Arabidopsis thaliana: one gene and its partner. The protein of the gene in region 2 purifies or fractionates together with the protein of the main gene of each other region. This does not show direct contact. Each region holds a gene or a part of one and is shown on either strand. Other genes may lie near its edges. The genes, in order: NPQ4 and LHCB6.

The links.
Region 1: the proteins of LHCB6 (region 2) and NPQ4 fractionate together in Arabidopsis thaliana (co-fractionation; one large-scale study listed by BioGRID). This does not show direct contact.

What each region holds. Positions count from the first base shown.
Region 1 is NC_003070.9:16,868,713-16,874,238, reverse strand, and holds NPQ4 (Chlorophyll A-B binding family protein), read right to left. Parts: upstream 4,019-5,526; 5' UTR 3,965-4,018; intron 2,729-3,964; exon of another isoform or gene 2,621-2,728; 5' UTR 2,472-2,620; coding exon 2,280-2,471; intron 2,196-2,279; coding exon 2,082-2,195; intron 2,003-2,081; coding exon 1,759-2,002; coding exon of another isoform or gene 1,691-1,758; exon of another isoform or gene 1,293-1,690; coding exon 1,045-1,292; 3' UTR 815-1,044; downstream 1-814. UniProt on the Arabidopsis thaliana protein: Plays an important role in non-photochemical quenching (NPQ), a process maintains the balance between dissipation and utilization of light energy to minimize generation of oxidizing molecules, thereby protecting the plant against photo-oxidative damage; acts upstream of DLDG1.
Region 2 is NC_003070.9:5,445,903-5,450,023, forward strand, and holds LHCB6 (light harvesting complex photosystem II subunit 6), read right to left. Parts: upstream 1,979-4,121; 5' UTR 1,775-1,978; coding exon 1,548-1,774; exon of another isoform or gene 1,333-1,547; coding exon 783-1,332; 3' UTR 560-782; downstream 1-559. Other genes in the region: AT1G15810 (S15/NS1, RNA-binding protein), read left to right, coding at 78-130, 226-369; AT1G15825 (hydroxyproline-rich glycoprotein family protein), read right to left, coding at 2,247-2,627; AT1G15830 (uncharacterized protein), read left to right, coding at 2,824-4,121.

The DNA of each region.
Region 1 (5,526 bases), about 11 Mb from region 2:
TTTTGAGTTACGTTTCACATTTTGGGTTTTAAGTTTTTTTTTTCTTTATATAAAATTTTATTTTAAGATTTGATTTGGTTTGATGAAGGAATGATTTTGGAGATTCTTTTGAAAACATGTTTAAGGGTTGGGTACAGGTAAACATAAATTTTAGATGTTTTTGGCTTCTTTTTTATTGGGAAGTTTGATTATGAATTTTACCATTATGAGGAGTATTTGGAACGCTCATGATTTTTAGATCAATTGTTTCGTAAGTTCGATTTTTGGACTGTCCGAAATAGGACAGAGTTGCTGGATTTGCATGGGATACTTTTCTTTTCGTCAACATCGAAGACGTCCTCTAGAATAGAAATTAATATTTACTCTTGCAGTGTATGCTTTAGATCCCGGCTCAATTCATTATGAGACCTATGGCAAAACTCAAAATAAAATAAAATCTCTTAGTAAATGTTTTTTTTTGGAAAAATTGGGGCCTTTTAGTCTTAACAATTTTTTTGAAATTGATTAGTAACCTTGGGCATTTGCCTACCTTGCCACCCCCAGAGACGGCCTGTACGAGCCAGGTACACCAGACGAATGGAGAAAATCACTCTAGGGGAGACGCTACCTTCACTTTTGCAAACTATCTTGTGAAGGTACGCGCGGCCATAAACACTTGCCATTATGTTCTGATTTTTGGGGAACCACTAGAGCAAAAACAACGGCTCCTTCATGATTTACCAAATTAATTTTATAATCTAGATTTTGGAATCAAATAAGTTCCTAACATGTACTTTAACATATTAGTTTTAAATTCTGTTTGATTTATCAAAAAAAAAAACTATGATGAAGCTGTTCTAATTCCACAGTTTTTTTCTGTTAAGAGATGCTAGATGATATCAATCACCTAGTCACTTAGGTGTAATAAAACTATATATAATCAGAAAATTCCAAGTTAAAAACAAAAGGATATAAGTATTACAACAATTTAAGCTGTCCATTTCCTTTTGTCTCAACATGAAGAGAAGGTCACACACTCTCTACTAAATTTAAGTACATGATAATTTAGCTTTCTTCACCATCATCGGTGATGAATTTTCCATTACCAGGATTAATGGCAGCGAAGAAGAAGAAAGCAACGTTTAAGAGGACAAGTGGTTCGATATCTTGAATTGGTATACCGGTCTCAATGTTGAGTTGAGCTAATGCTCCTTTCCCGGTAATAATCTCTCCTATCAGTGAAAATGCTATTCCCAACTGTGCCAATCTTCCTACGAATAACTCGTTCGCCTTCGTGAACCCAAACAATGGACCTTCACACAACAAAACAACAAACATATTCAAATTTATTCAAAACATTAGACCAAGCAACTCTTTAAGTAATCTCATATTTGTATCTTTTTTTCTTTTCAGAAACACTATTTTATTTAAGTTAACGGGAAGAGACTCTCTGCTAGAGAAAGCCATTCAGGAACCAATGTGCTTACATGGGGGAAAAAGATAGAAATTGATAACGATAAATAATCTATCAGGCCAACGATAAATAAATAAACATTTAGAGATTATTTTTGGAGATTGACAGTTCCATGCTAGTATCTTTTGTCTCACATTTGTATCTTAGGATAACGATAAATAAACATAAAGCCGATCCGGACACTACACTTAGGCCAATTCAGTTATACTAGTTACTATAGTACTCTATCAGGTTATATTATTTGCATTGGTTGTTCAGAGCAATGTCATTGTAACAAAGATAGAAATAGAAATGTTGAGAGATACCTTGTTCTTTGAGACCGAGGGCAGATCGGACGTTTTTGCCGGGAGGAATGACGGCTTTCTCGAGCCCGGTGGGAGGATCGTCGACGAATTTTCCTCTGTCTCCGAGAGCTCCAATGGCTCCCAACAGAGTGAACAAGATGAAGAAGAGAAGCAATGGCTCTGCTTCGTAAATCGGTATCCCTGTCTCCAGATTCAGCTGAGCTAATATCCCTTTTCCCGTCAACGCCTCACCAAGCAACGATGCCTATGCATAGAAACACAGCTTTCATACTAAAGCTTCTTTCTTGGAAGATAAGTTAGTGTATTTCATAGAGGGGACTTACAGCGAAACCGATCATAGCAACACGACCAACGAATAGCTCATTCGCCTTTGTGAAACCAATCCCACCAGACGTTCCAAAGATGCCATCCTCAACCTTGCTCTTCGGCTTCTCAACCTAAAATGTATATGAAAATCTTAACATTACCATCAAACACACAAGAAATGTTCCTTGTGGGACAAGTAAAGAGTATGTGAAAACCTTTTTAGGAGCAGCTTTGGTTTTGGGTTTGAAGAGAGCGAGAGGAACGAATGATTGTCTCCTAGATGGTAGTGCAACCGGAGAGTTTCCAGAGAGGAAGAGATGGTGAACTTTGGGCTGAGCCAAAGGGCTCTTGTTCCTCAAAAAATGGCCGGCGGTGACGCCTGAAGTAAGCAGCATGGTTTGAGCCATTCTTTCTGAGGATGAGAGAAGGATCAGTGATGTGTTTTGTGTTGTGTTGTGGAAGTGAAGAGATTAAAAGATATAAGGGAAATCTATTGATGGGCTTAAAGTGCGTCCACGTCTCCCAATTGTCCTTTCCATACTCTCTATGTGGTGAACTGGAGATAACGTTTTTGTGGAGAAAAATAAATCTATCAATATAATAGTTTTTAAAAAATTTAGATACACTTTTTAAAAGTTATACTTATTTAGACAGTAAACAAAAAAACAAAATAAATGTCATATTCAAAGAACCATTTATGACGAACTAATAACTCCTTCTAATAAAAATATAAAATATTTCTTTCAAGAAAATCATATTTTGGAACTAAAATCCAATTTATGTATTGATGTAAATGAATTGTGTCTGGTCAAAACTAAAGAAACATACTCATAGAAGATTCACGTCAAAAGGGTATGTTATACTAGCAAAGTACATACTAATGGAACTGGTACATTAGATATTACAAAAACGAAATGGCTTAATTTTTTTTATAATATGTATATAAATAAGAACACCTATATTGAAAAAATTCACATCAATTACATATTTTGTAAAAAATATTATATTTGAAAAATATCTAATTCTTTTTTAATATAGCCAGAGCCGGGCACAAACACAAGCGGGCTAAACCCAAACTTACGGTCGCAAATAGTATAAAAACAATTTTGGCTTCATATTTTCGTATTTGTTAGGTAGTCTAGTGGTAAAGACTGGTCCGAAAGAATCTTCGACACTTAGGTTCAAATCTTTAGTTTTTTCGGTTTTGTTAAGGGCTGATTGGTTCTCCCTCTACCACCCATAAACGCAGCGTTTGCGGTTGGTAGCGGTTATTAGCGATTGGAACCAATCATAGAAACCGCTAGATATCGCTTTGGACCGCTCAAAATTGCCAATTTTCAAAAGCTCCTTCCCGCAAGCGTTTGCGGTTGCGGGCGGTAGCGGTTAGATTAAAAATAAAAAAATAATCTATTTTTAGTTAATTAAAATAATTGTGGTTTCCACCCAAACCCTAATCACTATAATTAAAATAATCTAATCTTTTATATATCTTATTTTTATTAGAAAACCCTAATCAATATATTGTAACTCTATTCTCTCAATTATGGCATCCGATGAAAATCAAAATCAAGAATCAAACATAAGTATCATCTATCATTTTATTCACTCATTAGCTAGTGTAATTCTTTGACTATTTCATGGCATCATTGTTTTTATTTTATTTTGTATTCTTTTGAGTTTTTTGATTGAATACATGTTTCGATTTGTTTTCTCGATTAGAAAATGTTTTAGTCGGACGAGATGATATATTGTATTTTTATTTGGTCAGAAAATCAATTTTTCTAATATATTATATTTTTATTTCTTTTAATAGTAATATATTATATTTATTTTGGTTATTTTTTATTTAATTACTATCGCACCGGCTGGTTTATCAGTCATAAAACTCCCGCAAACGCACCTATTATCAAACGCTCAACCAGTCGTTCAAAATGCTTGATAACGCTTAAAACCGTGATCGCCCGTTTCCGCAAACTCCCGTAACCGCAACCGCACCCGCTTATAACCTTAAAATAGTTAGGGACGGTAAAAACTTGAATCGAGTAAAAAACATTTGAAACTACAAATACTCGCACAACACTCAGAAAGGAATAATTTTTGGTGTTTAATTAGTTTTCTCGATGAGAGACGTGTTTGAACTTTGGACACGAACACCTCATCTCACATCATGACAAGCGGGTTTAGGCATATTTGTTTTCTTTCTATGAGTCTCATTAAAGTTATAATTTAAACACAAAACATTGTCTTCTACTAAAAAGTTCATTATTTTGTAATTTAAATTGTATCAATTGAACAATCATCATATATATTCAAAATGGACATATAATATTTAAATATCATAAACTTTCATTTTAATTTTAATTATATGTACATACATTAAACCCCTATTTTGAAAACAATTTCACATCAATCACACCTTCTTCTTTTTTTGGGCAACTCACATCAATATACCTTTTAAAAAAAAATATTACATAAAATCCCTAATAGTTTGAGAAAACCTGATTGACTCGATTCGAGTCAAAAATATGTGCGACTTATAAATTGCTCGCAACACTCCGAAAGAGTATATTTGTAGTAACAAGTAAGTGGTGTTTAATTAATTGTCTCCATGTAAGACGTGTTTGAACACGAACTGCTCATTTCACGTTATTACAAAACAAGTGGGCTTAGGCATATACTTTGGGAACAAACCTAATAAGTAAAATAACAATAATGTGACATGTATTTTTGGATGTTTTTACATTTTATTTAATCAATTAGAAAATAGTATTTTTCTCTTTAACATGTTATAGTTTTATGTTGGCGTGTATCTGTTAATGAACTTTCAGATTAATGATTTTCGAGTATAGATTTTATTAATTTCGCTAGGACGCTATGTGATAATTTATACATTATCATAGCAAATAGCCAAATAACATGGTACACATAACATAATATGTCACAAAGAAATACAGTTAACTTACTAGGAAACACATATATTTCTATCTACTGCCGTTTCATTTATCAGAAACGTGGGGACGGAGACATCGGGTAAACATCCTCAAGATATTTCAAAATCTAGAGAACAACTAGCTGTTGATCGAGGACAGACTGGTCCGGCATTTCACCAATTTTTATGATGCATTTGTATTGGGTTTCAAATTTTTGAATCGCATTTTGTTAAGATTTTTGTAAAAAACAATAGACCCCAAAATAAGGGAAAAACCGACGCATAGATCAAATCTTTAAGTTCAAGTTCGATTCTAATCCATAAGGCTCTATAACTTAGCGTTTGCATAGTTATAACACAATATTCATTTGTGAGTTAGGTTCAAGCAATTATACGAAATTATGCTAAGTATAAAATACCTAAGATCATGTATTAGGTGGTGTGCGAGACATACATGCATTAAGATCAAACTCAACTAGAAAGAATAGTATAAACGATCAAACAAAATCATAGAAACTGCCAACCTAAACCAG
Region 2 (4,121 bases):
ATGTTGACTTTAGCCATTTAAAGGTTTACACGTTCTAAGATAGATTGTCTTGTGATGTCTCTGGTCTCTCCTTACAGTGGCACAACTCACTACTAAGATCAAGCATTTATCCTCAAGTTTGCACAAAAAGGTAAAACTTCAAACTGTTTTCGATATTTTTGTGAAGCTATCCATCCCAGTTTCTTGTGGAACCTTATGTCATACCTGTTGGTGGCTGTACCGTAGGACAAGCATTCGCGGAAGGGACTTTTAGGAATGGTGCAGAAACGGAAGAAACTGTTGAAATATCTAAGACGAACTGACTGGGATTCTTACTGCCTTGTCCTGTCAAAACTCAGCCTTCGTGACAACCCGGATTACAAGTGCTAAGCTTTATTGCACTAGAGACCCGATGATGGTATCTGTGCACTCTTTTGGTTCAACCAACTTACTGTTGTGAGTGAGACTTAGCTGTTCAAACCCTGTTAGGCATTTTCCACTCTAGGGAAGAAAGTCGCTCTATTCTATTTTGTCCTCTTACTCCAGTGTTTCAGCTGGAGCTCTTCAATCATGCATTTGTGGCAAAGAAATGAAGTTGTGGATCTCTTTCATTGATGTTTAGTATTCCCTTTCACATTTGAGTTGTGATAATAAAGTTATCTACGAACAAGCCTCATGATTTCATTTTACATTTATAGCAATGGTTTGATGATCTTTTCCCAAATGTCACATTGAAGAAGAGAAACATTAGGTTTTTGGAAGAGAAATTGTATCTACAGAATCAAAAACATCATGCCGTTTTCTCACAAACCAAGAGCACCGAGAGGCGTTTTCCCCTGCCCGGCCTCAAAGTAAAAGATCAACATGGCAACCATTGCGAGCCTCGAGTGCTTAATCTCTGCCAATTTCAGCCTCTCCAGCTTCTCAAAGTCCGGCTCATAAACACCGTCGCGGTTTTTCCCGGCGAGACCCAACGGATCGAAGAATCTCCCACCGGGGTATCCCTGATCGCCGGTATAGTTCGCGAAATTCTCGGCGGTCTTCGACCATGGCGTTGCCCACTCAACCGATTGAGAATCCGGGTTGAAGAAATCGACCCATCGTTTGCTCTCCACCCAACCCATGAGAAGCAATTGGGTTCCAAGAAGCGACCCGAACGAGAAGGGAGCGATCGCGTCTGGCTGGGCTCCAGCTTCAAACCATGCCACACCGCTCCAGGCCTGGCCGACGAAGATCCCAAGAACCGCTGCCATCGCCCATCGGCCATGGATCAGCTCAGCCTCTCTGTACCATTTCAGAAAAGCCGGGTCTTTCCCCAAACCCAATGGGTCGAACCCGAAATCTCCTGGTAGCCTGCGAATATCACACACATTTGACTCAATAACTGGGTAACAAACAATTCGGGCTTTTCATGCTCTCTTGAGATTCAGCTAACAAATTAGAACCAAATGAGTAATCAGGACCTTGAATTATCATAATCTATTGTCCAAGCTAGTTTATGAGAGATATGAATGAAAATTCAGCATTGTTCATGCTAGTAACTCAGATATAAAAGAGAATAGACTTACGAGCCATCGAGCCATTCAGGGTCAAGGAAGTTGCCACCACCTTTAACGGCAGGGATCCAAGATTTCTTAGGCTGAGCAGCCGCAGCAGCGACAATAAGAGTTTTCCTGCCAACTCTCTGAGCTCCAGTGCCTACGCCGCTTGCCAATGCGGTGGCACCTCTCTTGCCTCCGGTGAGGAACGAAGAACCAAGCCCACTGAGGACAGCTCCGGAGACCGCCATCGCCATGAGATCTCTAATATACTTGCTCTGTTTTTTTCTCTCAAGATGTGGAGAAATGAGTGTTTGGTTGTTGTTCTCTCTCTCTGTTTTTCGGAGCAGAAAGAATCAAAGAGAGGAGATTTAGAGGGACAATGTGAGATAATGAGAATCTATAGACGAAATCTCAGAGGCTGTCGTGGATAGATTTCTGACCAATTAGGAGTCAGAAACTACTTCACCATATCCACATCACCCACACTCACCACTGTCTTATTCTGCCAACTCAGTATTTACATTTTTCTAATACTTTACTTATCTAAATCTAAATTGTGAGAGGAAAATAAAATGACACGTGGAAATTAATTTATTTTCTTATTGAAATGTAAATGACAGCAATGAATTTACAAAATGGCTGCATTATGTGGCTTATTGCGTTTAGATTACACATTACATGATTAACTGAAAAAAAAAACGAAAATTTAAAAATATATAAAGAGAATTAACGATTAAATGGCGGGGAATCCCAAGTAGGCGGAGGAAGCTCAACAAACGGTTGATTTGAACCCATGTCCGGGTTTGGTGTAACCGGAAACGGATTATCCGGTATTGTTGGGATGGACTCTATTGGTGGTGCGAATGACGTCACCGGCGGTTGCCATGGATTTGTGACCTCTGGCGGCGTGGTAAAGTCGGGAGTTTGGGGTGGGAAATCTCCGAGGACTGGTGGTGTGGAGAATACTGGAATTGTCGGTGGATCTTGTACGGTCGGTGGTAATGTGAAAACCGGCGGGATCTCTTGAACCGGTGGAGGCAAAATCGGCGGGAACTCTTCAGCCGGTGGAGTGAGAATTGGCGGGAAATCTTGAACCGGTGGAGGCATAATCGGAGGGAATTCTAGAACCGGTGGAGGCAAATTTGGCGGGAACTCATCAGCCGGGGGAGCGAGAATTGGGGGGAAATCTTGAACCGGTGGAGGCAAAATCGGAGGGAATTCTTGAACCGGTGGCGGCAACTCATCAGCCGGGGGAGGTAAAATCGAAGGAAGGTCTTGAACCGGTGGAGGCAAAGTCACGGGAATGACTGGTGGCGTTAATGTTGACTGGTCAATAGGCGGTTCAATGGTTACATCAGGTGGTGGCGGTTGTCCGATGACTATATCCGGTGGGAGATTGTTTACTGGTGGAGGAGATCCCGTGATTATAACCGGTGGGAGATTGTCTACAGGTGCAGCTGGTGGCGTTAATGTTGACCGGTCTAAAGGCGGAGGAAGGAGGAAAACTGGAGATGGTGGTGGTGATCCAGTAGTAATATCAGGCGGCGAAAACCATGCTAGTGGTGGCATGGGCGGGACGTCTGCGACTAGAGGCGGAGGAGGTGAACCGGTGATTCCCGGAGCTCCGCCACCTAATAGAGGAGGAGGAGAAACGGTGATTCCCGGAGCACCACCGCCTATAAGAGGAGGAGGGGGTGAACCAGCGATTCCTGGAGCTCCGCCGCCAAAAAGAGGTGGAGGAGGTGAACCAGTGATTCCCGGAGCTCCGCCGCCAAAAAGAGGAGGAGGAGGTGAACCAGTGATTCCCGGAGCTCCGCCGCCTAAAAGAGGAGGAGGGGGTGAACCAGTGATTCCCGGAGCTCCGCCGCCTAAAAGAGGAGGAGGGGGTGAACCAGTGATTCCCGGAGCTCCGCCGCCTAAAAGAGGAGGAGGAGGTGAACCAGTGATTCCCGGAGCTCCACCGCCTAAAAGAGGAGGAGGAGGGGAACCAGTGATTCCCGGAGCGCCACTGCCTAAAAGAGGCGGAGGAGGTGAATCTGTGGTTCCCGGAGCGCCACCACCTAAAAGAGGAGGCGGTGTCATTGTAAATGGTGGCTGTGAAACCGTGCCGCCAGGTAGAGGTGGTGGTGGTGATAAAACTAATGGAAGAGGTGGTGAGGGAAGAGAGGAAGATAATGGTGGTGGAAGAGGCGCAGAAGGTGGAGGAAGGGGTAGCACCGGAGAAGGCGTCACAGATGGTGGTGGTAGAACAGGAAATAAAGGCGGCAATGGAGGGAGTATAAAAATCGGCGTAGGGACAAATGGTATCACCGGCGGTACTGGCGGCGGTGAAGCTGGTGCTGGGATGCAAGTTATGCAAGGCTGGGGAGGAGGCGGTTCCGGGGCTGCTACACAAGTAATGCAAGGCTGCGGAGGAGGTGATGCTGGGGCTATTACACAAGTAATGCAAGGCTGGGGAGGAGGCGGTGCTGGGGCTGTGACACAAGTAATGCAAGGCTGCGGAGGAGGCGGTGGTGGTGGAGATGGTGGAGGTGGGCAAGGAACCGGAATCGGAGGAGGCGGTGGTGGTGAGCAAGGAACCGGAGTTGGCGGTGGAGGTGA